Diceros bicornis minor: one gene and its partners. The protein of the gene in region 1 purifies or fractionates together with the protein of each later gene. This does not show direct contact. Links are inferred from orthologs where the notes say so. Each region holds a gene or a part of one and is shown in the gene's direction. Other genes may lie near its edges. The genes, in order: SMNDC1, SF3B2, SF3A1 and SF3A3.

The links.
Region 2: the proteins of SMNDC1 (region 1) and SF3B2 purify together in Homo sapiens (affinity purification with mass spectrometry; 3 studies listed by BioGRID and IntAct, with this or other methods). This does not show direct contact. The link is inferred for Diceros bicornis minor from reciprocal best matches to the Homo sapiens genes SMNDC1 and SF3B2.
Region 3: the proteins of SMNDC1 (region 1) and SF3A1 purify together in Homo sapiens (affinity purification with mass spectrometry; 3 studies listed by BioGRID and IntAct, with this or other methods). This does not show direct contact. The link is inferred for Diceros bicornis minor from reciprocal best matches to the Homo sapiens genes SMNDC1 and SF3A1.
Region 4: the proteins of SMNDC1 (region 1) and SF3A3 purify together in Homo sapiens (affinity purification with mass spectrometry; 3 studies listed by BioGRID and IntAct, with this or other methods). This does not show direct contact. The link is inferred for Diceros bicornis minor from reciprocal best matches to the Homo sapiens genes SMNDC1 and SF3A3.

The regions. Positions count from the first base shown.
Region 1 is NC_080745.1:74,123,396-74,131,448, reverse strand, and holds the start of SMNDC1 (survival of motor neuron-related-splicing factor 30), read left to right. Parts: upstream 1-5,049; 5' UTR 5,050-5,094; intron 5,095-6,320; coding exon 6,321-6,440; intron 6,441-8,053. UniProt on the Homo sapiens protein: Involved in spliceosome assembly.
Region 2 is NC_080770.1:7,249,029-7,257,072, reverse strand, and holds the start of SF3B2 (splicing factor 3B subunit 2), read left to right. Parts: upstream 1-5,025; 5' UTR 5,026-5,043; coding exon 5,044-5,176; intron 5,177-5,343; coding exon 5,344-5,393; intron 5,394-5,899; coding exon 5,900-5,977; intron 5,978-7,011; coding exon 7,012-7,260; intron 7,261-7,475; coding exon 7,476-7,526; intron 7,527-8,044. UniProt on the Homo sapiens protein: Component of the 17S U2 SnRNP complex of the spliceosome, a large ribonucleoprotein complex that removes introns from transcribed pre-mRNAs.
Region 3 is NC_080774.1:23,863,572-23,871,340, reverse strand, and holds the start of SF3A1 (splicing factor 3A subunit 1), read left to right. Parts: upstream 1-4,723; 5' UTR 4,724-4,807; coding exon 4,808-4,870; intron 4,871-7,769. UniProt on the Homo sapiens protein: Component of the 17S U2 SnRNP complex of the spliceosome, a large ribonucleoprotein complex that removes introns from transcribed pre-mRNAs.
Region 4 is NC_080752.1:51,927,921-51,935,833, reverse strand, and holds the start of SF3A3 (splicing factor 3A subunit 3), read left to right. Parts: upstream 1-4,901; 5' UTR 4,902-4,976; coding exon 4,977-5,072; intron 5,073-5,242; coding exon 5,243-5,290; intron 5,291-6,944; coding exon 6,945-6,997; intron 6,998-7,102; coding exon 7,103-7,208; intron 7,209-7,913. Other genes in the region: FHL3 (four and a half LIM domains protein 3), read left to right, coding at 67-253, 379-533. UniProt on the Homo sapiens protein: Component of the 17S U2 SnRNP complex of the spliceosome, a large ribonucleoprotein complex that removes introns from transcribed pre-mRNAs.

The DNA.
Region 1 (8,053 bases):
GTAATTATTAAGTAATCTGTGGGGTGATACTCTGACACTGTGTGAACATCCTCCTTTTCTCTACCTCCTTTTATAAGATGGGTTTTAGCTTCTATTGATGATCTTTGCCCTAATCACTGAGGACTGCACATGGTGATTTTTCCAATTCTATCATTCCATCTACATTTATTGGCTGGAATTCTTCTATAAAGAAAACAAGTCTCTTCCCCCACCCTTGATTTTGAGCATCACTCTGGAGTTATGGATTTTAAAAATGTATTCAATACTTTGATAATCTGTCACAGCCATTATTCTTCTTAGTGCCCAAATTGACTCACATTTGGCCAGTGGAGTTCCCTCATGCTGGGGTCTGTGAGCTTTTGACTTCATCCTATTAGTTTTGGGGCACTTCTTGCTTTCTAGCAAGATGTTCCAGGCCTGCCTTTGTACTCTTGTACTTTCTGGGCCTGAGACCCAAAATCAACCATTTCTCCAAGAAATGCTGTTTCCTTTCAGTGAGGAATGGTATTTAGATATCAAGATATGGGCACCCTTCACCAGGGTAACATTACTTCTAAGAAATATACATATGTAAACAATTCTAATTCAAATTCAACATCAGAGAGCTTCCCCCCATTACTTCTTTTATTTTATATTTTTCTTTCTTTCCTCTTGGAGTTTTAACTTACATAAATATATTAATTATTCACTTTATTTATAGTAGACATAAAAGAGTTTCAAAATTACATTACCAATATTACTATTAGCAATAAATCTATAATTGAGATTTTTTTGTTTTTGTTCTTTTTGTCCTCAGACTATATCCCACTAAGAATGTATGTAAGAGTACTATTAAACACCACTTTTGAATAGGTCTAAAGAACTTTGAATGACTCTACTATTTGACCCTTAGCAAGGCCTTAGATCATAATCTTTTTCATACTGAAGGAATCTATTTTCTGGGTTTCTTTTTTACAAAATTTTTTCTTGTGATGAGAACTTTTTTTTTTTTTTTGGTGAGGAAGATCAGCCCTGAGCTAACATCCGTGCTAATCCTCCTCTTTTTGCTGAGGAAGACTGGCTCTGAGCTACCATCTATTGCCAATCCTCCTCCTTTTTTTCCCCCAAAGCCCCAGTAGATAGTTGTATGTCACAGTTGCACATCCTTCTAGTTGCTATATGTGGGACGCGGCCTCAGCACGGCCGGGGAAGCGGCGCATCAGTGCACACCCGGGATCCGAACCCGGGCCGCGAGTAGCAGAGCACGCACTCTTAACCGCTAATCCACAGGGCCGGCCCCTGACGAGAACTTTTAAGGTCTACTCTCTTAGCAACTTTCAAATATACAATACAGTATTATTAACTACAGTCACCATTCTGTACATTACATCCCCATGACTTTTTTATTTTATAACTGAAGTTTGTACCTTTTCACCACCTTTACCCATTTTGCCCACCAACACCCCCCCTTGCCTCTGGCAACCATCAGTCTGTTCTATGAGCTCAATTTTTTTTTTTAGACTCCACATATAAGTGAGATCATACAATATTTGTCTTTCTCTGTCACTCATTTCACTTACATAATTCCCTCAAGGTCCACCCATGTTGTCACAAATGGCAAAATTTCTTTCTTCTTCATGGCTGAGTAATATTCAAGTGTGTGTGTATTTGTGTGTGTGTGTGTGTGTGTGTGTACATTTTATTTATTCATTTATCCATTGATGGACACTTAGGTTGCTTCTATGTCTTGGGTATTATAAATAATGCTGCAATGAACATGGAGATGCATATATCTTTTCAAATTAGCATTTTCATTTTCTTTGGATAAATATCCAGAAGTGGAATTGCTGGATTGTATGGTATTTCTATTTTTAATTTTTTGAGGAATCTCCATACTATTTTCCATAGTGGCTGCACCAATTTACATGCCCACCAACAGTGTACAAGGGTTCTCTTTCCTCCACATCCTCGCCAACACTTGTTATTTGTTGTTTTTTTGATAATAGCCACTCTAATGGGTGTCAAGTAATATCTCATTGTGGTTTTGATTTGCATTTCCCTGATGATTAGTGATGTTGAGCACCTCTTCATGTACCTGTTGGCCATTTATATATCTTCTTTGGAAAGATGTCTATTCAGATCCTCTGCCTCAATTTTAATTTTTTTAAATTTGTAATTGTTTTTCTGCTATTGAGTTGCATGAGTTCTTTATATATTTCTGATATTAACCCCTTATCAGATATATGATTTGCAAAACTTTCTCCCATTTGGTAGGTTGCCTTTTCATTTTATTGATGATTTCCTTTGCCGTGCAGAAGCTTTTCAGTTTGATGTAGTGTTTTCTGTTTGTAGTGGCACGTTTTCTGTTCTTTAGTGGTACAAATAAAACACAGAACAGCTGAAAATGCACATTCTAACACTAGGAAGGCAATGCAAACTTAAGTGAACAAGTCAGGATTGCTACGACTGATAGCACCTGCATTGATAAGCATCTGTTTAAGGTTGTTTTTCCATCAACCTTAAACGGATGATGCCACCTAAGAGTCATTCTAGGACATGGTTTCAATGCACTGTACCCCAAAACACTCAATAAGCACAAAAAGCCAGTAGCTTGCCCCTGCAACAAATCTCCATGCAAACGTTCAAAACACCTATTATGACTAAAGACAACAAAGGGCATAAGCAGTTATTATGACTGAGTACACATCTCTAATTCATTGCCTTAGGCATTTGTGGATAGAACAAAAAATGTGGGCCAATCGGGTGCTACCTTTAGCCCAGGGACACAATAAAAGCTAAGCTACAGAATGCAATCTCTCATTTAACCAACACGTCTCACTTTATTACATACTTCTGTGCTCTGCAGTGCGTTGGCACATTTCCAAAGGCAGCAGCTATACTTTCTCTAATTTTCTTTAGCAGTGAAAGGAAACAGTTGTATATTCTGATGACAACTTGCAGGCTTTAAATTTTGTTTACTTACTGAGTTTCAATAAAATAAACACCAAGTTTAAAGAACTAGAGATTTTAGATACTACTATTTTTGAAGAATAAACATGACTAAATTTGAATGAACGTTTTAAGAAAAATCAGACACTGAAAGTAGATCTTGACATTTCAAAGGAAGTGGTAAGTCAGAACCCCTATTTGAAGTATCACTGTTAGTCAAAGCTCATACTTGCTCCAGTTTTGTCTTTAATAGCACACAGAATCATCGTGAATATTAAATGAATACATATTAAGTGCTTAGAAGGGTGCCTGGTACATAAAACTGTTATCATCTCTTTCGAAGACCTAAAATTTAATATAGCTTTTCTTTCCAAATATAATCTATGTTGCACAGAGGGAGAAATTAAAAGCAATCTTGAAAATAAAAGCTTATCAAGGTGATAGAGAAATCTACATGGGAGCTTACAATAAAGTATTTTCCTATTTTCTGACGGGAGCTTACAATAAAGTATTTTCCTATTTTCTGATCTAAGGGCTTCATGAAGAGTTCTTACTTGAGAGATTTTTACACAGCTATAAAGTTTATATTCAAGGAAGATCCTCTTGGCATTAGTTCCTAAAATACAAAATTGGAATTAGAGCAGTTAAAAAGTACATTATATTTAAACAAATTTCTACTCTGTTAAGGAAAAATACATCCTTTCTGGTTTGTCGTCTCTTAATTCTAGCTGCACACTGCTGCCCTCTGCAGGATTTTAAATTCTTGCACGTTGCCTGCCACCCCAATCATACTCACAAACCTGACATTGTTTCCATCTTTATAGGTTATGACTCAATAGGAGGGATATGTGTTCGTATGTAGAGAAAAAAAGGGAAGGCCCTTCCAAAAAAAAAAAAAAAAAAAAGAGCAAGGAACAAAAGTAAGATGTCACAGTCCAAAAGAACCCATCTGAGAGGAGGGCCTTCTTACCGTTCCACAACAGACTCCAAGCCCCAGAAAAGCTTCTTTCTTGGCAATTACATAGCCTCTTTGTGCCTCATGCCTTTATTTATTTTTTTTACTAGTTTTGTTTTTTAATTGTAAAAGAAAATTATATACATATATTAGAAAAGAAAAAGAGTAAACAGTAAAAAGCGTAATCAGTGAAAACATTTGGCTTCCACTCCAGGTCTCGAATAGGTTTGCATATCCATCCAGAAAGAGTTCATATTATTACAAACATACGCAATGCGCATTTCTTTTAAAACATAAATGGCAGTATTAACACCAGTCTGCTTATCATCCAAGACTATAACTTGGAGATTGTTCCCTATCAGGCGAGATTAACCTATATAATTAACTTAGTTAAAACCAAATAAGTTGTAACAAAATAGGTTTTAAATAAATCAGTCTCTTCTCCAACACGCTTTGCCATAATTAGCTTTTTGTTGCTACTAAGGCGCTTACTATGATATAAAGCACTGGTCCTCAAACTTGAGCGGACATCGGTATCACCGGGAGACTTGCTAAAAGACTGCTCAGCCCATCCCCAGAGTTTCCGATTCTGGAGGTCTGGGTTGGGCGCTGAGAATTTGCATTTGTAATAAATTACCAGGCGATGCTGATGCCACTGGCACGGGACCACACTTTGAGAACAAACTGCTAGCATGAACACTGCAGTAAACCCACTTCCTAGCACCGCTCGCCTAAGAAAGCACACGCAACCTCTCCCCTGGGAATCCCAGGAAGAGCCCAACAGGTCCCACACCTAAAAGAAGAATCCAACGCCTCCCCGCTCCGAGCCGGAACTGAGGGAAAACAAACCTACATCCGGTGCCTGGCGCAGGCTAACTACGCCATTTCCTCCTTACTAAACCCCGCCCACTCTGCGTCTCCGATGCCAGTAAGGGCAGGCGACCCAGAAGGCGCTAGTAATCACGTGAGTGGAGCCACATCTCGCGAGGGTTTTTAACCTCTCGCGAGACTTCACCCGCCCCTGTCTTTTCCTCCTTCCAGTGCCCGGCTTTCCTCCCCTCCCCCTCACCGCCGGCCGAGTTTATCCTTTTCAGACCGAGTGGCCTTGTCGCCGCGGAGATTTTTGCTGTTGCTGCCGCTGTCTCCGCCGCGACCACCGGGCTCTTTTGCCCCGACCCCTTCCCGCCGCCCCGTCCCCAGCCCCACACAAGGTAACAAACCCGGGGAGGGAAAGAGGTAGGCCTCGCCGGGCCTCGGCCTCTCCGCATTGAAGCGGAGGCCTGAGGCGGAGGAGGCGGCCGCGCCGGAGAGGCCTGGGCGCCGGCGAGAGCTTTAGGGGCCCCGGCTTCCCCTCGCCCAGAGTGAGCCCTGAGGCCCCGGGCGGGTTGGGCTTGCGCGCCGTGGCGGCGAAGACGGCCCACCGGGGCCGCGTCGGGTGGGGCTGGGACGCCGAGGCCTGCCGAGGACGCGCTCGGCCGCGGGCTCCCGCCGCCGGCGGCCGCTCCGCTCGTGTTGTCGGTTTCCCTGGAAGCAGATGTTGGAATTGCGTGGTCTGAAGTAATCGACCGAGTGGTGGCGGGCTTCGAGGTGTGGGTGACCGGCGGGGAGCAGCCGGGCTGCTCTGACTCCTTCGGAGCCCTTCCAGATTCTGGGCTGTGGTTGGACGGGAGTTGTAGGACAGGAGGGTCCTCGGAAACCCTCTGGGTTTGCTTACAGATCGAGAAAGGATTCTCTCGGGTCTTATTTTCAGGAGAGGAATAAGCCGGATTGGTGAAAGGCACGTTCTTTAGAATGCCTAAATGGGAGAGTATTTGTGCTGTGTCTTGTACTGAAAAAAAAAAAACACATCGGCACCATTTAAGTGACTGGGTGAAAGATTTTAGCTCTGGAAAAGAGCTTTTTAAACACGCTTTTATTAATTGAATAGCTTAGGTAGAGTTATTTGTGTAGTTAATCCAAAAGCCATTTATATTTGGTTTTGGAAGTATTCTTTAGTGCTTAAAAATACTTTTTTCGGAAGTCTCGATTTTTCCAAAAGATTAGTGCTGTGTTTTGGGGTTTTTTTGTTTTTTGGTGACGATGTAACAACGCTGTTAACTGAGCCTAACGCAGTGCTTTCCCTGTTACAGGAATTTTAAAAAAAATGAGAAATTGTTCTTTTTTTTCTTACCTCTTGTTTTCTGTTTCTCTTTGTATATGGGATTTATCTGACATGTTTATAATCTTCAGAATCCATTGCCTTGAAGTTTGTGGTTTGGCTCACAGCTTTTCTCTGAACTAAAAACAAAGCTAATGGTGAGAAATTAAGCTGCAATGAATTATAATCAAGAGTTGGGAGCAAAATTGGTAAGGGTTAATTCAGGCAGACAGGGAAATTATTTTTTATGGTTGTTTTTTGGTTCAGTTTTCATGGTTTTATCCTTTTTATGTTCCCTAGATGTCAGAGGATCTAGCAAAGCAGCTGGCAAGCTACAAAGCTCAGCTTCAGCAAGTTGAAGCAGCGTTGTCTGGAAATGGAGAAAATGAAGATTTGCTAAAATTAAAGAAAGATTTACAAGTAAGTCTGAGGGGACACTTATAGTAACATTGCTTGAAAAGACTATTTCTGTGTTTTTCAAATGACTCATTGCTTAGAAGGTGTAGATACCCAAAGCACCCTTTGGAGTGGGTCTTTCTCCACCCTCCTCCTTCCTATGTACCTGTGTGTGTGTGCACAGGCATACGGCTTGTAGAAGTGGGGTTGTTTCCTCAGTTTGTATACATCTAAATGAGTGAAGCATTCTTTGTTACGTAAATCTTGTATGCTCATATAATTTTAAAAAATGATTTTAGAAGTCTCTCTGAAACTTTCTAGAGAAGAGGTACATATAACTTTATAGTGGAAAGTGCTTTTATTTTCCACTGAAAAAGGAAATATAGTTCAAAGAGTAACTAAAATTAAAAGAGAAAGATAGAACCTGATTAAGATTCCTTTTAATGCCACAAGATTCTCTGAAAATGAAATGAGTGTGTGTGTGTGTGTTTCAAAGCTAGCCTGTAACACTGTATTGAAAACATATTATAAAAATATGTAAAGAGATACTAGTTTTCTGCTTAATGTTACATAGTATTTGAACTTAAGACTAGATTTTATAGTGTAGTTGTTCACACTTGTTGAAGTTAAATTGAATCTAACTGGAAAGGAGATTTTAATTTGTTTTGTTTGTCATGGGAGAGTTCAGTAGATATGAAACCTGCTTTTAAAAACCTGCATTGGGCTTTCAAGACATATGTAAAGCCATAATAGTAACTATCTGTTGTTTCTCAGAACACTAGGTTGATTAATAAAAACACCATATATAATATTTGTAAACATAGGATTTTTTACCTTAACAAATTTGAGAACTTAAAATTCTAAACCTGATTTTTTTGAAAGTTTTAAAAGGTGTTTTGATCAGGTAGTCTTTCTTTACTGATTCAATACAAAACTTGAATCATCTTTATCCTAAGTAATCCTTTCCCTCCCTTTATCATCCTCTTGCTTATTAAAATTATTAATATTTTAGGGATATTAGAACTGCAAACAAATGAAACTTATTTGAAATGGGGTCCAGATTCAGGATTCTGAAAGAGCTCATCTGGGCATAATTAAGATGAGTTGAATATTTTCAGGTTCATATTCTGGATTTAGGAAGCTTGCATAAAGTTGCAATAGTATGTTATTTTTAAAAACACAGAAAACAAGATCCCTCTTAAATATGTAGAAGTCAGGCCAGTGGATTTCAGGGTGCCAATCGATAAGAAAAAGATGTTTTGGGAGTCATTTCTCCCATTCCCAGGCCAACTTTCTGCTTGCCTCAGAGAGAGATCCTGGCATGTCCTCACCTTCTTTTACCAACTTAAAAGCTGTTCTTTTTTTCTTTGAAGAGAATAAAACGTTTTGTGCCAGTGTTGGGTATATTGCTTCCTGGGCAGTGGGTGGAAGGGTATATGTACAACTTGTGGAGGAGGAGTTGGGAGTGAAGATTGAAACAGCATTATTATGAGGTCTTTTTAATATTTCTAGAATAAATTGTCAGAGTTTGGGCAGAACTGCCTTACTGTGACATGATCTCTAGTGGAAAATACTGTAGGGAGAGAAACCATTGTGGTAGGCATTGTAGTCAGCACATAAATGACTTACTTAGGGTG
Region 2 (8,044 bases), on another chromosome or scaffold:
TTACATTTAAACCTGTTTGGGTGGAAAGATGTCCTGGTGATGCCTTTTCCTTCTCCCCAGGCCCCATCATCTGGTTTCCTCCACCAGCCTGCAGACAGACTTAATCTGCCTGGAGCCGAGGAGGGTGAAGGGTCCAGCCATAGAGGGCAACCAAGGGCATGGCAGAAAAAGCCCAAGATGCCGCCCCTGCCGCATGCACACCTTCTTCCCTTTGTTACTCATCCTGCCTAGAGGACTTAGTGACCAGACTGAGAGTTTCCCAAGGCTGGGGGGCCAGCCTATTCCCACTTTTGCTAAACTCACTGAAACCACCCTATTTCTCAGAGGACTCTGGGTCAGCCAAGGAGGTCAAGCCTGGAGGGAGCTACAGTGGGCCTTTCCCTGGGAGACACTTCAACCAGGCCACACAGAGAAGGTGATGGGGTACTTGGTGGCCTCCTCTATCCCACTCCCCTCCATGGCTTAGCCCTGGGGACCCAGCCAGCCAGACCCCAGTCTGACGCCCACTTAGAACAGGGCATCATCAGTGCAAGAATTCCCTGGACCCCAGCCCTCCCAGGTGGGCACCAGTTTCTGTTTGGCCACGGTCAATGATGCGACGTTCATCACCTTCAGATACAGCCTGGCCCATTTCTGAGCAGCCTTGGCTGTTCAGAAGTTCTTTCTGGGACACTAGGATTAGTCTACTGCTGGTAGTGCCTTTCTCAGCTTGTCTCCTTCCACCTTCCACTCTGTATGGTTGCTAGCGCTGCCTTCCTAGGCCACATGGACCATTTTTCTCCATGACAGACCTTCAGGTATTTGAAAGCAGTAAGCCTGTCTCCTCTGGGTGGGCACTTGGCCAGCCTCAACATTCCAGGTCCCGAGGAGGGTGCTGCTTGGACACTGGAGGAGGCCTCCCTTCCCTGGCAAGTTCACTCCACAATGTCTCTTCTCCCTATGCAGTCAAGGCACTGGCACCTGGGAAGGGGGCCACCTGGGGCTAGGTTTCTATGTGTAATTTCCAGGCTGGTGTAGGGTGGGTGGCGGTCCGGGGCAGGCTTCAGAGCAACGGCCCTGGCTCCTGCACCTCACATGCTTCAAACTACTCCCCAGCCTCCCCCGTGTCTTCTCCACGAAGAGAGTTTCCCACAGCCGTCCCAGACAGGTCAGGGTGCCCAGCCTCATCAGAATATCAGTGCTAATTTTAGTCAGAACAGCCTACCTCAGGCTACTGCCCAGTTTTGCAAATTGCTTTTCTTTCTCCAGGGAACCAAAGAAGAAAGGGGATAGCTAGCCAGAGCTTTGAAAACTGGCCTGGACGCCCACCCACTCCCAAATGAACCCTTTTCTCTCTCTCCTCCAAGCTCTAGGGCTAATACTGGTGCCTTTAGAAGAGGAGGGTGCCCTGGCCTGGAACACCTGGACCTGACCGTTGGATGACCTGGAGACTCCATCCTTACTTGAGGATGGCACAGCCCAGTGATTAGGGAAACTGCCTAGGGCACTAGAGAGGAAAGGGACAAGGGCTGAGGGGGCTTCGAATTAGTGGCCTAGGAGATCAAATATCTTTCCACCTCCCTCTTTTTCTTCCCTTTTTCCCCCCAGCCGGCTCCAGGTCCCAACCAGCCCCCTCTCTCTGCCATCCACCGGGCCCGTCATTCCTGCCTCCGAATTCCCTTCATCCTCCTCTCTCCATCACTATCCCCCAAGCCCCCATTCCCTCAATTTTATTGCAACCTCTCCCAGGGATCCGGTCACCGGGGTCTGGTCACCATAGGAGATAGGCCAGATTCTCCCTCTCACCCCTCCCTCTCCCACTCCCCAGGGGACAGAGCGCCCCCAATCTCATGCTCTCCAGGCACTAGGCCCGCACGACACTCTCCCGCCCACCCCTCATCCCCCATCCCGATCTGGTCCACCCCCGCCCCAGGCCGGCCACTGCAGTACTCACGGCGCGCGGGCTCTGCCGGGGTGGTCGCCGGTCGCCGCTACCTCCGAACCCTTGTCCCGAAATCCGCTGCGGATGCGAGGGCGCCGGGGGCCCTGCGTGCCGAGTGCCGGTCGCTTTCCTCTCCGCGCCTGGATGGGATCAGGTGGCGGCGTCCGCTCGGCTCCGCTCCTCTCAGCTCTGCCCGCCGCCCGCCCCCCATCGCACACCGGAGGCGGGGCGGGGGCGGGGGCCCGGCCGCGCAGGAGGGGGAGGGAGAGGGGAGCGGGAAGAGGAGGGGGCAGCCTTGACTCGCAGACTGCCAGTTAACACTCTCCAGTGGCGTCTTCGGATGCAGGCATCTTCCCCGGGCAATCTTGCAGAGTCTGGATACCAATGTGACCAGCTCCTTGCCCTCACTCTACAGAAGGGGAAACTGAGGCCCAGAAGGTATCTGGGTACTGTGGCATTGCTAGGCGTTCCTGGGCTCGGCTGGTCAACCTTGGGCTGGCTGGTGGGTCCCAGAGGAGTTAGAGACACAGGTACATTTCCCAGCACCCACATGCTCCCTCCCTCCTCTCTTTCTCCTCTTTCAACCTCCAGCAGAGAAGCACAGCTCTGGCCCCTGGTCTGGTCCCATCTGCCCTCACACCCCTGGGAACCCCTTCCCTTCCAGCCCCTGAGGCAGCCCCCTGCTACTGACCCCCTCCTACTCTCCACCAGGACTCCAGACCCACTCACTTCCCACTAGAGCTTTAGTGGCCCTGGGACCCCTGCCCAGGCACCTTGTACTGGGAATCAGAGAACCCAAGTTCAACCCCGGTTGAACTTAAGTCCCAGAGTCAAGAGGCACCTCCCTGGGAAGGCTTCCAGCTCTAGAATGGGGAGCTGTTCTGAGACTGCAGAGAGGATACATGTGAAGGCTCTCTGTGAACTCCCATGTGTGTGGGGTGGTCCTGAATTTTCTACTGCCTTCTTAGCCCTTAGTTCCTACCACCTGGGAGCTGGGCAGGAGCACTTCCCAAAGTCACGCCAGACACCAAGAGCCCCGCATTTAGTTCTGGGGTTCTCATGGACCCCAGCTTTCTCCTGCCCTCTAGGCCTGGTATGACAAGGATCCTGGAGCTGGGGCAGCCACCCAAAGCTGCGACTGGAAGGGACTGGATTCCACTCCACAGCCACACAGGTAGGTATTGTGTGAGGGTCCTTGTTAAGGAGGAGAAAGGAATGGGGACTCTCAGAGTCAGGAGAACTGCTTGTGGTCCCAGTTTGACACCCTGGGCACGTCAGCTTCTCTCCGCCCCTCAGTCTTCTCCTATGCACAATGGGGGGGTCCTACCCTGCCTGGGTCCCAGGGCTTATGATAAAATGAGGCCCCACTTGGCCCATCCCTCCCTTTCTGGCCCTACTTACATTACGTCCTCACCCATCAGCTCTTAGTTTATCCTGCCTTAGAGACCCCCTTCCTGTTCCCCAGCACATACACATGCCTGGGGGCCTCCAGCCTCAGAGGAGCTGCCAGCAGCTCTCTGGTTACAGGGAGCAGAAAAACACTTCTTTTGGGTCAGGAATGGTTCTGCCTGAGTGGGCTGACCAGCTAGGGGGAGGGCACCATTCTTCTTTTGTCTGTCCGTTCTGGCTTTAGCTTCTCCTCTGAGAGTGTCAGGAGATTGGGATGGTGGCAGTGATGAAACAGGGAAAGGTCATGGTTTGGGGAGGAGTGAAGAGAATTTCCTAGCCAGGGCCGGGATGTGAGCAACAGTCCTGGCCCAGTCGTTTCCTCTGTCTCTCTTAAACCTCACCTTCCCTGGACCTGGCACCACATTTTCCCCCCCTGTTCCCAGTTACTCCTCTGTTGGGGGCAGTCAGTGAAATGGAGCATGCTGGAGAGAAGGTCTGAAGGGTGCGGGTGTGTGGGGAAAAAGAGACCACTTCACTTGAGTTTCCTGGCTCTGTTACCCGACACACACATACACACTCACACAGGCAGTGAACCTGGCTGTCAGTGAGAGGGCAGAGCTAGAATGGGAGAGGGACCTCAGAGCTAGTGGCAGAGGTGGGGAGAGAAACCGAATTGACAGGTTAGGGCAGGGAGAGGTGGAAGCTGGGCAGGCAAGGGCACCTGCCCATCCCTCCCTCAGGCGCACAGGCCACTGGTGCCGAGGAAGGGTGGACCCCACCTAGAGGCTGATGGGAACGAGGAAAGAAAATGTCCTGAGTTTATTTTCGAGACTAAAAGAGACGCAAATCCTGTCGCCAGAAAGACTGTTCCATTTGCTTTTTTTTCAGTAATCTTTTATTGAGCGCCTCTTGAACGCCAGGTGCTGCGCGACAGTAAAAAGACAAGATCTCTGCTCACGTTCTTGGGGATGGAAGAGGGGAGGAGGGGCAAGACTTCAAAGCAAATGGTGGAGGTTTGAACGTGTTATGGGAACTCCAAGGAAGAGAAGGAAAGCCGGAGAAGGCTGAGACGACATTTGAGCCAGCCTGGAAGGTGGGAAAAGGGGCTTTAGTGTGGCCCTTCCCCCAGGTTGGCAGCTGGAGCCCAGCCCGGGCGGCCCGCTCCTCTCCCGGCTCCGATCCCCTTTCAGCCCATTCAATCCTTGCCTGCGCCGGGGGTGGACGGGCAGACAATCAGACACTGTTTTATCACAGGCATCGGCTGCAACCTCCCGCCTGGCGCCCGCAATGCGCGGCCGCCGAGGGAATGAGTAGTTCGGGACTCCCCGGGGACGTAAGCGTCCGGACCTCTCACGCCTGACCAGGGAGTCGGGCCGGAAGGCTAGCGGTCTGCGCTCCGGCCGGTCCGACGCAGAAAGCACGCCCTCGGGGTGGGACCAGCTTTCCCCGCAGCCCCGCCCCCGCTCCGGCCCCCAGTGTTCCCGGGCTTGTGGGCGCGCACGGTTCTCCGGGAGTTGGGCGGGCAGAGGCCGTGACCTGCGTACTACAACTCCCAGAAGGCTTCGCGACCAGGCCGCCTAGGGACGGCTGCAGAACGCAGTGGGTGAGCCTCCATCCAAACGGCCTTCCAACCCGCGAGCGGACGTGGCGCACGGCGCCGCCGGAAGTCTCGGGACGTGTGCCTGCGGCTGGCCCGAGCTTCCGGGTTGGTCGCGCGCCTTCCTGCGGCTAAGATGGCGACCGAGCATCCTGAGCCTCCGAAAGGAGACTTGCAGCTGCCGCCGCCGCCGCCTCCTGGGCACTATGGCGCCTGGGCTGCCCAGGAGCTTCAGGCAAAATTGGCAGAGATCGGAGCTCCGATCCAGGGTGAGAAACACGGAGGTCAAGAGCCGGCAGCGTAGGCCTGCGGGGAAGCGGAGCCTGGTTACCCCGGAGACCCGGAGGCGGGGGGCGGAGGCCGGACGCTGGGGCCTGACTTGGGCCGGCTGGCCTGCTCGGCCTGACCTACCCTATTGATCCTGTGCTTTGCCCAGCAGGGAGTCGCGAGGAGCTGGTGGAGCGGCTGCAGACCTACACCCGTCAGGTCAGTGTTGGCAGCGGGACGTCAGGATAGGCCGAGCTTCTGGAGGAGACCTTCATGACCTCTCACGAAGAGCAGTCTTCGTTCTTTATGTACCTCAGCACGCCAAGTGGGGGCTTACTCTTTTTGCCTGTGCTTGCCTTTACCTGCTCTGTTGTAATCGCTTCTGTGCCTGTTCCCAGGTCCCTGCTCACGTCGAGTGCAAGAACAATGTGTCATTTGACTTGGAATTCCAGCACCTGTCTCATAGTAGACCCCCGGCAAATGTCTGCAGTAGAAAAATACTTTCTAGTTTATGGTCATATTTTTTTTCACAGCTCTTTGGGATTCCCATGCTACTGCCACTCATGGGATTACCCCTCTGTTCTGTACCTCTACCTTCTTCCCCAGTGCCCAGTCGGACCTCTGGCAGACAGGCACTGGGTAAATTTTGTTGAATGAATGGGAGCGAACGTGGTTTATTGGAACAGCTCCTCTTGGACCAACCTAGAGTCCTTTCTCTTTTGCAGACTGGCATCGTGCTGAATCGGCCGGTTCTGAGAGGCGAAGATGGGGACAAAGCTGCCCCCCCTCCCATGTCAGCGCAGGTGAGGAGGTTGTTCCACTTTATAAGATCCCTTTTGCTCAGGGTAGCCTTTTTTTTTACATGCAGTGTACTGTGGATGCAACTAGCAGATTGGGTAGGGGGGTACTGCGGTGATAGAATTGGGAGCTCTTCAGTTCTCTGGTGGTCCTGATCTTTGCCTCCTCCTCCAATGTCTGCTCCTCAAAATTCTACTTGTCATTTAAGATTCTGTTTAGTATTTGGAAGCCTGACTTGATCCTCCACCAGCTGGAAGTAATCACCCTCTTCTTTGCCCTCCCAGGGCACAGTTCCCATGTTATTCACTGAGACCTTAGAGCTCACTTCCTGATTTGATTTGATACCCTCTACATTTATTGAGTCATCAGGGCACACTGGCTCCCATTTATTTAAGTCCTCTCAACTTCCATGTTCTTTCTGATCCAGGATTTGACTCCTTTTCTCTAGAGCAGTGGCTCTGACGTGGGGTCCACTGACTTCTGTGTGGGAGATGAGGAGTCCCTAGATAGTCTTTAGAGGTCTCCTTGAATCTCCTGAAATTGTATGCCAAGTCTGTGTTCGTGGTATTGTTCTGGGGAGAGAGTCCATAGCTTTCGTTGGTTGGTGCCCCAAAGTTAGCATCCTCTTCTCTCGATACTGCTATCGAGTATTCTTTTCTTGAGTGCAAGAACTATGTATCATTTGACTTTGAATCTCAGCAGCTGTCTCATAGTAGATCCCCAACAAATGTCTGCAGTAGAGGGGCTGGCCCAGTGGTGCAAGCGGTTAAGTGCACGTGCTCTGCTGCAGTGGCCCGGGGTTCGCCGGTTCAGATCCCGGGCGCACACCAACGCACCGCTTGTCAAGCCATGCTGTGGCGGCGTCCTATATAAAGTGGAGGAAGATGGGCATGGATGTTAGCTCAAGGCCAGTCTTCCTCAGCAAAAAAAGAGGAGGATTGGCAGATGTGAGCTCAGGGCCGATCTTCCTCACCAAAAAAAAAGAACGGTCTGCAATAGATAAATACTTCCTAGTTTATGGTCATATTTTTTTCCACAGCTCTCTGGGATTCCCATGCCACCACCACCCATGGGACTCCCCCCTCTGCAACCTCCTCCACCACCCCCACCACCTCCACCAGGCCTTGGCCTTGGCTTTCCTATGGCCGTTGGACCCCGCCCTCCAAACTTAGGGCCCCCGCCTCCTCTCCGGGTGGGTGAGCCTGTGGCACTGTCAGAGGAGGAGCGCCTGAAGCTGGCGCAGCAGCAGGCAGCATTGCTGATGCAGCAAGAGGAGCGTGCCAAGCAGGTAGGCCAGGTGGCAGCCTGGGCCTGGGTCTCATCAGGGTCCTGAATGGGGAGTAGAGCCTCAGAGCTGGATCTTGGAGCCAAGCCTTCTGGGAAGGTCTGGACCACAGACTAGAACTTGGGCCCTAGGCTGGAGAAGGACCCCAGGAAGCAGAGTTGTGGCAGACTGCCCTGTGGGGTATTGGTGCTGGTATGAGCTTGTTTTCTTTTTTTAAGCAGGGAGATCATTCACTGAAGGAACATGAGCTCTTGGAGCAGCAGAAGCGGGTAATGCCCTTATCCTAACCTTTGACCCCATGGTCTAGTCTCTTGGCTGTCACTTCTAGTGCTTAGTGTCCAAAACAAGATGCACCATTCAGGTTTTCCATGGAGGTTACGTCATCCTCAACTGAGTTCCAGTATCTCCCAAATAATTCTCTCTTCCCTGTAGCTCAAGAGTTAGTAAACTATGGACTGCGGCCTGTTTTTGTATGGCCTGCGAGCTAGGAATGGATTCTATATATTTAAAGGACTCTTGGGGGGAAAAAAAAAAAAACTAAGTCTATACAGTAGTCCATACAACGGTCTATGAAGCCTAAAATATTTACTGTCTGGCCTGTTACAGAAAAAGTTTGCAGACCTCTGCTAGTCTTACATGGTATCATTTTAGGTACCTTAGAGAGGACTCTGGGCTAATTTAGTCATTTGTATCAGATTTAGATTAAACACGATAGATATAAGTTACAGAATGATACATAAGACATGCAGCCCCAGAGGTGGGTCGCATCGGTTGTTACCTGGTTGAG
Region 3 (7,769 bases), on another chromosome or scaffold:
GCAGGGGCTGCTTGGGCAGTATTTAGGCCACGGCCACTCTGACCCCCACCAATCCAGGCTTGCCTGGGAAACCTCTCTTCCTCCAGCCTATTTCTACCCCCAAGCCTCCCTCATCTCAGAAAATAGCACCCCTACTGAGTGCATCTGGGCACTTCCTCGAATCCCCTTCCTTTACCCCCACGTGCAAGCAGTGAGTGATGCCAATCCTACATCCGGACCACACTGAGAATCCACCGCTTCTGTCCATTGACACTACTCCACACTCCACTATCTCCCCAGGCCACTGCCACAGCCTCCCTGAGGGGTCACCCTCTTCCCTCTGCCCAGCAAAACCTCGCCCACCCGTTCTGTATACGGCAGCCAGAGTGATCAGCTTTCTCCAGCATAAAGACTGGAACACTTCCCCAGCTCCGGCCCTGCGTGGTCTGTTTCCATCTCAGCTTCTCACCACCCAGAATGTGCCCCGTCCCCATACTTCCTCTTGATAAGATACCTCCCTCAGGTACCCAGCCAGGTGAGGTCCCCTGGTACACATTCTCAGAGCATCCTGTTCTTTTCCCTCCCAGCACACACCACACTGGCACTGAATCACTGAGAAATTATTTGCGGTTGGCAATTCATCTCCCTGCGAGCACATGGACTGTCTTTTGAGTTCACTGCAGTATGACCTGGACGCCTGGGCCAAGGGACCTGAGGGCCAGCCTGTGCCCACAGGTGCTGGGAAGCTCAGAGGCACCCAGGGGTGGTTCCTGAGAGCTGAGCAGGCCTCTCCGGCCTCCCAGAGGACTGGGCCCTGGCCTTACCTCTGCCCAGGTGCCTGCTCCTGGAGCTGGATGTCTGAGTGTGTCGAGCTCTTGGACTAGGCTTTGGGCTCTGGGGCTCAGGGTCAGAGGATCACCCAGGTGCCTGGCTTCCTGTATCCTGTGTGAGGGCTGGCCCCGAGCAGCTCTTCAGTCCCTGGGAACCAATGAAAGCAACAGTCAGTGACTGGACACTCAGAGAGGGCTCCCTGGGGGGCAGGCAGGAGTCTGTCCGGGAAGAAAGAGAGGGTGATCCAGGCTGGAGGAATGGGGTGGGAAAGGGCAGGTGGGATGGCCTGCATTGAGCCTGAGCACAGAGGGCACACTTCAACAGTGCTAGCTCTGACTGCAGGACCTACTGTGTGCCACTTCCTGAATCCACTTCCTTTATACAGATGAGAAAACTCAGGCTCTAGAAAGTTAAGGGGCTGGCCCAAGGTCACTGAGGGAGCTGGGATTCTTGAGTCCAACATTTATGCTCTGTATTCAAACTATGCTGCTTCTAGAGCAGCCCTGGCCAAAAGAAATATAACGCAAGCCACATATGGGATTTTAAATTTTCTACTAGTCACATTAAAAAAACTAAAAAGAAACCAGTAAACTAACTTTAACAATGTATTTTATTTAACCTACTATACTCAAAATATTATCACTTCAATATGAAATCAATACAAAATTATTAAGGAGATTTTCTTTCTTTTTGGGTGAGGAAGATGAGCCCTGAGCTAACATCCAATGCCAATCCTCCTCTTTTTTGCTGAGGAAGATCGGCCCTGGGCTAACATCTGTGCCCATCTTCCTCTACTTGATGTAGGACGCCGCCACAGCATGGCTTGACAAGCAGTGCGTCAGTGCATGCCCGGGATCCAAACCCGCCATTCCCGGGGCCAGCGAAGCGGAGCGCACACACTTAACCTCTGTGCCACCGGGTCAGCCCCAAGAAGATTTTCTTTTCTTTTTTTTTTTTTTGTGAGGAAGATCAGCCCTGAGCTAACATCCATGCTAATCCTCCTCATTTTTTGCTGAGGAAGACCGGCTCTGAGCTAACATCTATTGCCAATCCTCCTCCTTTTTTTCCCCAAAGCCCCAGTAGATAGTTGTATGTCATAGTTGCACATCCTTCTAGTTGCTGTATGTGGGACGCAGCCTCAGCATGGCCAGACAAGCGGTGCGCCAGTGCACGCCCAGGATCCAAACCCGGGCCGCCAACAGCGGAGCGCGCGCACTTAACCGCTAAGCCACGGCCCCCAAGGAGATTTTCTTACAGTCTTTTTTTGCATTAAGTCTCAAATCCAGTGTCTATTTGACACAACACATCTCAATTTGGACCAGCCACCATTTTCAAATGCACCACCACATAGGCTGGTGGTTACCAGACTAGACAGTGCAGGTGTAGAGGCTCAGATCTCATGTGTTCATTCAGCAAACAGTGACTGAGTACCTACTACGTGCTGGGCACCATGGCAAGAATAGGGCCAGAGGGGCCAGCCCGCTGGCGTAGCAGTTACGTTTGTGCATTCTGCTTCAGTGGCCTGGGGTTCGTGGGTTTGAATCCCAGGCACAGACATACGCACCGCTTATCAAGCCATGTTGTGGCAGGCGTCCCACATATAAAAAAGTAGAGGAAGATGGGCATGGATGTTAGCCCAGGGCCAATCTTCCTCGGAAAAAAGAGGAGGATTGGCAACAGATGTTAGCTCAGGGCTAATCTTCCTCATAAAAAAAAAAAAAAGAATAGGGACAGAGCAAGGCACACAGAGCCCTATCTGCCAGGAACCACCATCTATGTCTGAGGGTCTCTGGAGTGGACAAGTCTTGAGTGTGTCAGCTCTGTCAGTTCCACCCACAGGGCGATGAGTAGCCGTCCCACAACACTCAAATACACACACAAACACACCCAGGCCCACATCCCGCACACATATGGTGCCTTGGTGACTGCCTCTCATGAGATATTGCCACCTGTGAGATTTTATGTCCCCAAGGAATGAGGCAGAAGCAAACAAAAAAAAAACAACAGACTGAAACATTCCAGTTTCCTTCCTGGAATGGGAGGAAGGAAATAAATAAAGAAAGCAAGAAACTCCACCCTGGGAGAAGGTGTATTCAAGTGGCACCCGGACCTCAAGCGCTTGCTTGCAAAGACACCAAGAAACATTGACCTGTTCCTCAAATAACTATGGCCATCTAGGGCCATCTGAGATGCCAACTCCTGTTAGATTCCAGTTCTGAGAGGCAGCAGCAAATGCCAAAGAATCAAGAATATACAAGAGGAAAACACAGCATTGAAAAATATCCAAGGTTACCTTATGTCATTTCTTATGAACTTTGGGGATTTGCAGATATAAGCATGGTTTGAGAACCACTTAGGTGTGTGTCAAGTGAAGGAGCATTTGACACAGCTTTCTCTGTAATTCCTGGGTCTTGAGTGGAACCCTCAGCCTGAAGCTGCCAGCCCTGCACTGGTCCCGAGCTCACACAGGCAATGGCCCTAACTGAGCCAACACTGCCTGAGGTAGGAACAGCAGCTAACTCTGCCTCTCCTCAGTTCCCTCAAGCTCAAGGTGGACTTTTGATTCACAGAGAAGGTAAGGAATCTTTCCTCCACTCCTGTTCAACATTCAAGCCCCTTCCCTTTCTGAGCCCTAAGACCTACCTCTCTGGTAAAGATTATGCCCACCTCCCGGCCAGTGTGCTGAGATTCCAGGTGACCACCATGAAAACACTTTGGAAACTCTAAAACCATCAATATGGTAGTTGTCAGTCTCTGATTCAGGATTGCTAATTGCCTGGATCCCTGGGGACAGTGAAGGGACTGACTGAAGACAAAGGAATAAGTAACTGCACAAGTAGAGGAGTAAGAATGGCCTGGGTTTGGATTCCCACTCCACCAACTCCAAACTTCACTATCCTCAACCGTAAATAAGTTGCTGTAAGAAATAAATGACGTAATGCACGTAGTCTTTGGACAGGGTCTGGCTCACGGTAAACGTTCAATAAATCCTAGCTATCATTATTATTCTACATTAATAATAACAACAATGACATAAACCAGCTATGGTGTGTGTGTGTGTCTAAGAGAGAGAGAAACAGGTAGGAGTCACAGGAGGCCATTTTTTTCCTATCATCCCCCCATTTCACAGGTGAGGAAATTGAAGTCCAGGCAAGGCCCGCATTCCGGAGTTGGGAGGGAGGGGAGAAGGGACAGAGAGAAGAGGATATCAGGAGGGGAAGTGAAAAAGGTGGGATTCGAGGTGGGCCAGGGGAAGCGGAGGAAGTGGTCTGCAGAAGCACCTGTGGGAGTGAGGGGTGGAGCCTCAAGAAGCAGCCCTGATTTGAGATGGTCCATGAGGCTTGAGGGCGGGACTATGGACGGCAGGAGGTGGAACCCAGAAAAGGCGCGCCCACAGGAAAAGGGACCAGTGGAAATTAGGGATTCTGACTCCGGAAAGGAACCTGGGGGAGGTGGGCATGAACCAGAAGAGAGGGTTTAAGAAGTAGGGAGGTGGGGCTTTGAGGAGGCGGGCCCGAGGGGGCTCTCCAAAGAGAGGCCAATGGGAGGGAGCGGGGGCCTTAGAAGGCGGGGTCGGAGGGAGCTAGGAACCCACCCGAGGAGTAAAGGAGAGGGGGCGCGTGCGGGGGGCGTCTGCCATGTGGAACATCTCACCAGTCTCCGGCGTCACAGCCTCAGCCCCTGTGTCTGGTGGGCTCATGGAACTGCTCTCGGCGCGCCCGCCGCGCCTGGGATCTCCCACAAACCAGAGCCGGGCGCCCCGACCGCTGCCATGGCAACGGCGTCTCGCGCGGGCCGCCTCATGCGCGGAAGGGGCGGAAGTGACGCCACGGAATAGGGGCGGGACCGGAAGTGCGTCAGCCTCGCCTCCTCGGCTACGACTCGTTCGGTCGCCGCCATCTTGCGAGCTTGTCGTACTGTTGGTGAGGGGAAACTCTTTTGACGGAGCACCGCTCACCTACACCGAGGCGGACTGGCAGCCCTGAGCGTCGCAGTCATGCCGGCCGGACCCGTGCAGGCGGTGCCCCCGCCGCCGCCGGTGGCCACCGAGCCCAAACAGGTACCGCGTCCCCCGCACCTCTACCGGCAGCCCGAGCCTAGGCCTGGGCCCTCCCTCTGGCGCGGGCGCTCCTCACTTTTGCAGGAAGGCTGAGGAGGGCTTAGAGGGACTGCAAGTCCCAGGAGGCAGCGCGCTTCCTACGCTGCTTTCCGGTAGCGCAACGAGCTCACTACAACAGTGGTTCTCAAAGTGTGGTCCGCGGACCAGCAGCATCAGCATCACCTGGGAGCTTAGTAGAATTACAAAGTCTACACCCCAGACCTTCTAAATAGGAATCTGCATTTTAACAAGATTCCAGGGTGATTCATTCGAGTTTGAGAAGCACCGATCCGGCCCATCCACCGGTCTTCTGTTGCATTTGGGTTGCCGGCCCCCAGCCTTTGCCCAGTAATCTCTATAATTTCCCAGCCTGCAGGGTACATCTTTTAACGTTAATTTGCAGCATCTGTTCGGTGCTTACTCTAAGCCAGACTCGGTGCCAGGCTCCGACGTTACCGGAGTGAATGAGGTACAATTTCTGCCTTAGAGAGCTCACCGACTAGTGGGAAGCTATACGTGAATACTCAACAAATGTTTATTGCCCCGCCAGTGTAAATGATACAGTTCCAGCCAGTCCTTAAAAAGATCTCAAACAGGTGAGGAGGAAAGATGTGCATAAATAATTGCGTTATGGTGTGATTGTCTCTATAATAGAAGTATCAGGTTCGAGTAAGACAGTAATCTAATCAACGTGGCTTTGATGAGATAGAGTGGAGATTAAGGTGGGTGAAGCTCACAGGAGTGAGGTAAATTGATTTTAGGAGGATGCATAAGAGTTCACCAGGTAGGTGGTTGGGGAAGGGAAATAGCATTCTTTAATCATTCATCAAACATTTATTGAGCACATATTGTATACTAACCACTGCTTAGAGTTCAGAATACAGTGGGGAACATGACAGAAGAGGTCCGTCCCCTTTCCACAAACATGTAAGTGCCCATGTGTCCTGGCGTTTTCCCAGTCACTGGGGAAAAATAAACAAGGTAATACCAAATAATAATGCAAAGATACCAAGATAGGAATCAGATGGCCCCTCTGGTCATGGGTAAATAAACAGGTGTGGTTGAAGCACAGCATTGGATAACTGGTGGCAGGAGATGGGATTCTCAGAATTTGAACTTTGCCTAGTAGACAACGGGGAGAAAATGAAGGATATTAAGCTGGATAGTGACATTGTGTTTCAGAAATTCAGCTAGGTAGGCAGTGATGTGGAGAATTGCTAGGAGGACTGAGGATTAGTCACTTTATTAAAAAAAAAATGCTGAGGATGGGTGATGAGGCAGAGGGTCTGAGCAAGTTCGTTTCACAAAATGGCTCATAGTACAGGCTCTCCAGCCAAAGTGATGTTGGAAATTTGGTTCTGTCATTGAGGGCAGTTAAGCTCTCCATTCCTCAGTTTTGTCATCTGTAAAATGAGGATAATAAGAGGACTGACTTACCTTCTGGGGTTCTCACGAGGGTTATAAGAGTTAATATATTTAAATTGCTTAGGGGGCCGGCCCCATGGCTTAGCGGTTAAGTGCGCGCGCTCCGCTGCTGGCGGCCCGGGTTCGGATCCCGGGCGCGCACTGGCGCACCGCTTCTCTGGCCATGCTGAGGCTGCGTCCCACATACATCAACTAGAAGGATGTGCAGCTATGACATACAACTATCCACTGAGGCTTTGGGGGAAAATAAATAAATAAAATCTTTAAAAAATAATAATAAAGTGCTTAGGAAAGCATATGGTACCTATTCTGTGCTTGACAAATGTTATTATCATTGAATGTAGAGGCTGAGGAAGGGAGAGGAGGCCCAAGTTTCTGGCCTGGGTGACCAGGTACATGGTTGGCCATTCATCAGGAAAGAGGTTAGAGATAACAGTGCTCAGGAGTCAACTGGGTCTGGCTGGATAAAGCTCTGGGATGTCAATTTGGATGGGATTAGAGGTGGTACGGGAAATGGAGGATGTGGTTGTGAGTGCATCACTGAGGACAGTGTGAATACTATGAAGAGAACCAAGAACAGAATTCTGGGGGTGCTCGATGTTATAGGGCAGGAAGTGAAGGAAAGGAGCCAGGCAGGAAACTTGGAACGTATGGTGAGCAAGAAGGAAAGACAGGTGAGAATAGGGTGTGGGAGTTGAGGAGTGGAGAACTTTGTGAAGGAGTGGTCACTGGTCACAGAGCCAGATCACCACTGTAGTCAGTTTTTGACTTTGGCAAGAGCACTTGAAATGGATGAGGACCAAATGGGAAGTGAGGAAGTGGGAATGGCAAGACTGGGAGAACTCAGGGTGTTTAGCTCCGGGGCTGGGGGGGAAAGGGGGGAGGGAGAAGGCAGCAGCAGAAAAGAACGTGAGGGCAGGGGAGAAACTTGATTTTTCTTTCTTTTTTTTTGTGACGAAGATCGGCCTTGAGCTAACATCCATGCCAATCCTCCTCTTTTTGCTGAGGAAGACTGGCCCTGAGCTAACATCTATTGCCAGTCTTCCTCCTTTTTTTTCCCTTTTTCTCCCCAAAGCCCCAGTAGATAGTTGTATGTCACCGTTGCACATCCTTCTAGTTGCTATATGTGGAACGCGGCCTCAGTATGGCCGGACAAGCGGTGCATTGGTGCGCGCCGGGGATCTGAACCCCGGGCCGCCAGTAGCGGAGCATGTGCACTTAACCGCTAAGCCATAGGGCCAGCCCGAAACTTTATTTCTCTTAAGATGAGAGATTTGACCCTTCGTTTGCTAAGGAGAAGAAGCTAGTGAGGAAAGAATATTGATACTTATGGGACAATTAACGTTGAGTATTCCAGTGGAATTTCACAAAACATTTGAGCGTTGAGTGTGGTTCAGACTATGGAAGGGATGCAGAAGGAAAGGACATTCAAGGC
Region 4 (7,913 bases), on another chromosome or scaffold:
CGAGCAAGGCTCTGTTGTGGGGCGGGAATCCCCACTCCCCACTACTGACAGATGCTGCCCCCACAGACGCTGACACAGGGTGGTGTGACATACCGTGACCAGCCCTGGCATCGAGAATGCCTGGTCTGCACTGGGTGCCAGACACCCCTGGCAGGGCAGCAGTTCACCTCCCGGGATGATGATCCCTACTGCGTGGCCTGTTTTGGAGAACTCTTTGCACCCAAGTGCAGCAGCTGCAAGCGCCCCATCACAGGTGGGACAAGGGTCCAAGGACTGAGTGGGTGGGGGCAAGCAAGGAAGTGGCATCTGGTATTGGGTGAGGCTGAGGGGCAGGACTGCCCTCTAGATCTGCAGAGCTAACCTCCAGCCTCCCTCCAGGACTCGGCGGAGGCAAGTATGTGTCCTTTGAAGACCGCCACTGGCACCACAGCTGCTTCTCCTGCGCCCGCTGCTCCACCTCTCTGGTGGGCCAGGGCTTCGTGCCCGACGGAGACCAAGTGCTATGCCAGGGCTGCAGCCAGGCGGGGCCCTGAGTCTGGGCCCCAGGCCCTCCCAAACCAGGGCTCCAGGACTAAGGCTCCTTTTCCAAACCATCTCTGGGATCCAGCCCCTCCCCAAATTGGGGCTCCCCCTGGGCTCCAGGATTCAGCCTCCCTACTCCAACATCCCCCAAACTGGTACTCCCTGACCCAGGGCCCCCAAACCTGGGCTCCTCTGGAGCCTCTGTGATTCAAATCCCCTCCCCAAGCCTGGACTCCAGGACTCAGCCCTCTCCTCTACAGTCTGGGTTCCCAGACCAAACCCCCTCCCCAAATCAGGGCTCTAGACCCCCAGCCCTCCAAACCTGGACTCTGGGACCCAGGCCCCCTTCAATCTAGACTTCTCTCCCAAGACTGTAGGTCTCCTATGGGTGCCTGAGCAGTCCTGCAAGGTGGACTATCCTCAGGCTTGACCCTCCCCACCCCATCCCACCTCTGTCCCCAGGGCTGGGGCTGTCTGGGCAGCAGAATGGGTTCACTGGTTAGGGGGCCCTAGGGTACAGGGTTTTGCCCAGCCCGTGTCCTATGAGTGTTTTCTGATTTCATTTCAGTTTCATCTTGCCCGGAGATGGGCAGAGGGGTGGGATCGGCTCACCCCCTTCCAGATTCTGCAATAAAGCAGTGTGAGGAAGTGAAGGCCTGTATGTGTGTGTTTGCGGATGGAGGGGGAAGGAAGGTTTCTTCGCAGACGGAGGGACTCTGAGGATCGTGGGAAATCTCGCCCGAGAAAGGGGATCTCCACTGCTGTCACTGTCCCTCTCACGCTAAGCCTACCTTCCCCCTGCTGGCGGAGGGCGTTTTCCTCCATATGGGGAAGGGAGGGGTTTGAGAGAGGCTCTGGACCGGAGCGGGGGTGGCGGTGGGTTCCCAGGTCTGGTACAAATCGCCCCCCTCCCCTAACAGCCCTTCCCAAATCCCGCAGAGCACCGGGTGCGGATGCCCAGCCTGGACCCAGACCCTCGGCCCCCTTCCCCCTCTTCCCGAGGATTAGCGGAGGCGGCCCGGGATCCGCTCGAGGCCGCACGTTTTTTGCCAAAAAAGGCAAGGATGCAGCTGCACGCGCCGCGGGAACATCTGGATCCGATTCCCGGCATGAATGGGTCATGGCCCCGCCCCCCCGTGATTCAAGGGCGGAGGCGGGAATGAGCGAGGGGGGCTGCCCCCCAAAGTGGGGAGATGGGGCGGAGCGCTGCTCCCCTCACCCAGCGTCCCATGCCCCCTGCCCCTGCCCCCTCCGGGGCCTGCGGTCTGGGCTCCGCGGCGGAACCGCCGGAGTCCGCTCGTGCGCACACTCGGTACGCGCGGGCTCCTGCGCTCACCGTCCCGCCCGCAGCCTCCGGGGGTGGGGGCCCGCGCCTCGGGGTGGGCGGACCCTCGCGCCCTGGGCAGGAGGGGCCCTCGGGCCCGGGGCAACCGCGTGATTGTCTGTATCTCATTTTCAATACTCCCAGAAATCCAACGGGGCGGGCATTTTTCCATTTCACGGAGGTGGAGACTCGTCAGTTCCCCAACGTCACATAGGTAGTCACTGGTAGCTCTGGGATTCTAATCCGCTTCACACTGCTTTCCCTAATTCCAATTCTAAACTTTCTGAGGCCCTGGTTGACATTTCCAACAAACCTTTACGAATACCCACCGTGTGTGTTTATGATTAATAATTAGACATTCCACATTTTTGTCTCTTTCTCCCATCAGCCACTTGGAGGATTGGGCTCGCGCCTGCCTTGCTCACCCCTCCATCCTCAGGTCCCGGCACTTACTACATGTTCAATAAATACTTGTTGAGGAGGAGGAGTCCAAGCATAGAAAACAGCTGGCGCAAAGGCCTGGGGGCCTGAAAAACCATATGGTGCTTTGGGGAAGCAGCAAGTAATTTCACTTGGAGGAAGTGCCAAGAGGCTAAATGGCAGGCAGAGCCCAGGTCAGGAAGAGCCGAATGCCAAGTTAAACAGACCTCACTCTGCGGGTGAAGCAGCCAGTGGAAATGTTTAAGCAGGGGTGAGATGATCACTCTGGCTGCAGCATGAATAATGGATTGGAGGGTAAGATGAGCAGGCTGGTTCCGAGGCTAGTGCAGTGGTCAAAGTGAGAGATGATGAGGCAGGTGGCAGCAGGAGCGGAAAAGACAGGACTTCGTGACTGGTTTGATGGAGTGGGGAAGGAAGGCATCAAGTAAGTGGTGTTGCTTAGGTGGTCCATCTACCTAAGAGGAAGAAATTTGCAGGTACAAAACCTTGGCATTGATTTCAAGATAAACGTTTTTTAGATTTCACATCTCAGAAACCTAGAAGCATTGTATCATCATATAATTGTATAATCATTATATAACCGACACAATTTGACAATTTTTTTTTTTCTTTCTTAGTGGAACATGGTGGGGTTAACATTTGGCATCTGGTATTCGATGAAATACAGTAGATCCCAAACCTTACCAAAAAAAAAAAAAGGTTCATCTCTTCATCTCTCTGATCCTGAATGGAGATCTCTTACTTTTTTTTCCTCGTGGTGCAGGAAAAGCCTGTGGTGAGGAGTTATGCCTGGAGTCCTCTCCCTAAGGTTGTTCAAATTTTTAGACATAAAATACCCTTACAACACCCCATGAGCAAGCAAGACAAGAGTCATTATCCCTATGTTATTTTTAAAATTAAAAAACAATGTATGCTTATTGTAGAAAAATTGGAGAATTCTAAAAAGTAAAGGGAACAAAAGATAAATCACTAACAACTCCTTGATATATTATAGCCTCCTAGTTCTTTTTTGTTAAGGTTCATGTGCATATATGTATTTTCATTTTTAGTTTTAAGTTTATTTTGCAATTGAAAAAGTAATACATGTACATGTTAAGAAAAAAACTTTTCATGCTCTCCTTTGGGTATATACAAAGAAAAATTTCCCTCCTGTACCAGATCTTCCAGGCTATCTCCTCATAAACAACCCCTGTTTACTGTTAGTTGGCTATCCTTACAGAAATAATCTGTTTGTGCATCTATTTTTATACACACTGTTGTGCGTCTAGCTTTTTTCACTTTGTGTGGCCATCTTTCCCTATGAGTTCATACAGATTTTTTTAACAGCTTTATTGAGGTATAAGTTACATACCATAAAATTCACCCATTCACAGTGTACAATTCAATTAATTTTAGCAAATTTAATACAGTTGTGCAACTATTGTCACAATCCAATTTTAGAACATTTCTGTCACCCACAAAAAGATTTCTTGTGCGCATTTGCAGTCACTTCCGTTCTCACCTCCAGCCACAGGCCACCACTCATCTACTTTCTGTCTCTATTGATTTGCCTTTCTGCACATTTCATCTGGACCTACAGAATATGGTCTTTTGTGTATGGCTTCTTCCACTTAGCATGACGTTTTCATGGTTCATCCACATTGTAGCATTCCTTTATTGCTGAATAATATTCCATTGTATGGATAGACCACATTTTGCTTATCCATCCACCAGTGAATGGATTTGGGGGTTGCGTTCTGTTTTTGTTGATGATGAATAACGGCGCTATGAACATCTGAACATACGGACACACGTTTTCATTTTGCCATCTAGAAGTGGACATATAGACTTGCTTCATTCTTTTTTTTTTTACGGCTGTATAGCATTTCACTACTTTGATGTACCATATTTTATTTAATCAGTCCCCTGCTGTTAGACAACTAGGTTGTTTCTGCATGTGAATTACTTTAAAAAAAAAAAAACAGGGGCCGGCCCGGTGGCGCAAGCGGTTAAGTGCGCGCGCTCCGCTGCGGCGGCCCGGGGTTCGCTGGTTCGGATCCCGGGCGCGCACCGACGCACTGCTTGGTAAGCCATGCTGTGGCGGCGTCCCATATAAAGTGGAGGAAGATAGGCACAGATGTTAGCCCAGGGCCGTCTTCCTCAGCAAAAAAAAGAGGAGGATTGGCGGATGTTAGCTCAGGGCTGATCTCCTCACAAAAAAAAAAAAAAAAAAAAAAAAACCCTATCATCCCCATTTTACTGACAACGACACTGAGATCCGGAGAAGGGAAAAACGCTGTCAGAGTTCACACACAGTAAGGGTCTCAAGTTCCGGTCCCCCAACTCCCATCCATGCTTTTCCACTACTCTTCAGTCCACAGTGGCCCTGCCTGCTTGGCCAGGAAGCCCCGGGAAGCCGGCACTTCGCCTCAGGTTCCGGGATTTCTGTATGCCCCCTAGAGGCACCTGCAAACCGCTCGGCGTCGCGCCACCACACCTCCGGCCAGCAGGGGGCACTGCTGCCATCTCGATAGCCCAGACTGGCTCTCCTTTCGGTGCTCACTTTTCCTCGAGTCCCCGAGGCACTTCCGGTACCCGCGGAACTTCAGTGCGGCCGGACGCACAGCGTGGGGACGCGGGCGCGCGAGGCGGCAGGAGTTGCTTCCGGCCGTGTAGGTGGTCTGAATAGAGGTCCGGGGGCCCAGGGAAGATGGAGACGATTCTTGAGCAGCAACGGCGATATCACGAAGAGAAGGAACGGCTCATGGACGTCATGGCGAAAGAGATGCTCACGAAGAAGTCCACGGTGAGTGGGGCCTGGGCGGGGGCTCCCTCTGAGGCCGGGCCCATCCCGGGTTGACCCTCTGACCCTCCCCGCGCCCCTCCCCGGCCCCTCCCCGAGCCCCCGCCTTGGTCCCCTCCTCCCGGGACCCAGCCCTCCGAGCAACGGCGCCGTGTCCCCGTTTGCCTCTGCAGCTCCGGGACCAGATCAATTCGGACCACCGCACCCGGGCCATGCAGGACGTGAGTACCCCCGCCGACCGCGTCGGGCTGGGCGGGATGCGCGGGAAAGGCGGGGAGGCGGGTGCGGCCGCTCAGCGGGAGCCCTGGCCAGACGTAACCGGACTGGCCAGTCGCGGGTTGTCGGCCTGGAGATGTCCACGCGGCGCCCAGTCCCGAGGGTGCCTAACTGCCCTTCCTCGCGTCTCTGAACGGGCGACTCGTACTCTTCTCCGTTACTCGGAGGGACGCCCCTTCTTACAGTATCCTGTGTCCCATGGATGTCTAGGGAATAGTTATTAGAAGTCAGTGACTGGGGCCCAGAAAGTACTACCTCTTTTGCCCGGAAGAGAATGCTGTCCGTTAGTGTTTTCCTCCCAGAACACTGATTTGAAGTATTTGTGCCTACCAAACTGCTTTTACCTGGTAATAGTTTAATTTCTTACTTTTAGAAAACTGATAAATCAGAATGTTGGTACTTATTAAAGTTAAGTGATAGGTAAATGGAGGTTTATATACTATGTTGTCTGCTCTTGTATATGTTTGAGATGTCTTTAGAAAGAAATAAAAGACCTCATCAGAGTTTCTGATTTGCAGGAGATAGTCAGTCTTACGAGCCCCTAGTTCCTTATCTAAATTCCCAAATCCAAAATACTCTGAAAACAAAGGGGGTTGTGAGGGAGTAATTACTTGGTGGCAGAATCTCACTTGATCTCATTTGGCAGCAAAACCTGACCTGAACAGATGAGAGGCTTTTGTGGTCTTTATCTCACTTAGTAAATATTAGGTGAGTTTCACTGCAGAACTATTAATATGTGTTCCAGATTCCACTAGGGATATTACATAATATATAATACCTTTCTGAATTTAAAAATTCCAAATTCTGAAACAAATCTGGTCCCAAAAGCTTTGGAGAAGGGGCTATGTACCTGTACCATCCTGAGTTTGAATCCAAAGGAAGTTTATTTAGCCTGTACATTCTTCAGTCAAACTTTTTGAAGTAGTGAAAATCATCTTCGACCACCCTTTTATCTTTGAGGGTCTTAGGTGGGAATTGCTGTTTAGCAAAGGGTGACTGTCTTATATGGCTCTCTTTGATGACTCTTCTAGAGAAAGTTAATCATCAGTAACATGTAAATATAGGAACTCGATGCCACCCCTCAAATCACATCACTTAGGTAATCTTCAAATTGGCCTGTTTTAAAAACTAATCAGGAACCAGTGCTGTCTGTTAAAGGTACTAGAAAGCACAGGAACTCTTTTTTTTTTTTTTTGAATATTTATTCTGGTTTTTTCCCCAAGAGTTTGCTTTTATTTATTTATTTTTTTTGTGTGAGGAAGATCAGCCCTGAGCTAACATCCATGCCAATCCTCCTGTCTTTTTTGCTGAGGAAGACTGGCCCTGGGCTAACATCTTCCTCTACTTTATATGGGATGCCACCACAGCATAGCCTGACAAGCAGTGCGTCAGTGCACGCCCCGTATCCAAACCCGGGCTGCCAGCAGTGGAGCGCACGCACTTCACCACCACGCCATGGGGCCAGCCCTCTGCACGGGAACTTTTAATACCACATTTCCCCAGGTTTCCCTGGGCTCTGACTAGAGAGTCCTTGTTGGTGGCTTAGCTCTGTGGTTGTACAGATTGCTTCATTCTGATGGGTTTCTGTTTGCCTTTCAGAGGTATATGGAAGTCAGTGGGAACCTGAGGGATTTGTATGATGATAAGGATGGGTAAGTGACAGTCACAGCCAATGCAGGAGTTAGTGCTTTTGAGGAGCCATGGTTAAAGGACTGACTTTGTGCTCTATGTTCTTTGGATTTTTCCTGCAATTGCAGGTTACGAAAGGAGGAGCTCAGTGCCATTTCAGGACCCAATGAATTTGCTGAATTCTATAATAGACTCAAGCAAATAAAGGAATTCCACCGGAAGCACCCAAATGAGGTATGGCCTCAGAAAGTGTTTTCTCCAAACCTGCCTGAATAGCATAGTAAAGGAAAATGGAGACGTGCTGCTCAGATGTCCCATCAGAAATGAACTTGCCATTTAGCTGCAGGGAGCATCATTAGCTGACATCCTGCAGCTCCAGTGCGTTCATGATCCCCCTCCGCTTTAAGCCAAGGCCATTCTCTTCCTGGGCCACCCCCAGCCAGTGACTTGAGCACAGTGGGGGTACTATGGCCTGGCTGGTTCTGCCCAGTGCAAGACTCTTCTAGTGAGTAGTCTATTCCAGAGCTCCCCGTTGGATTGGTCAAGATTTTGTCCTGTCTGCGTCATGACCTAGGCTCTCCCTGCCCAATTTTCCTCTCTCCTTTTTATCTTTCATGAGTATTACCCTCCAATAAACTGCCTGTGAATGTAACTCTGTCTCGAAATTTGCTACCTAGAGGACCCAATTAACACAAAGGGCTTAACTCACTTCCAGGGATCATTACACCTTCAAGACTCAGCCCAGAGGCCAACGCTTCCATGAAATATCTTTACTAGTCTACCCCTCCCAATTAAGCTTTCTTTTCTTTATGGTCCTCTCGTATTTTATGACGATGAATGTCTGCACCACTATATTGTAAGATTATAAGGAGCAGGGATTATGTCTCAATTATCTAGAACTGATTAAGCATCTTGCACGGCTGACCAAAGGAATTCTAG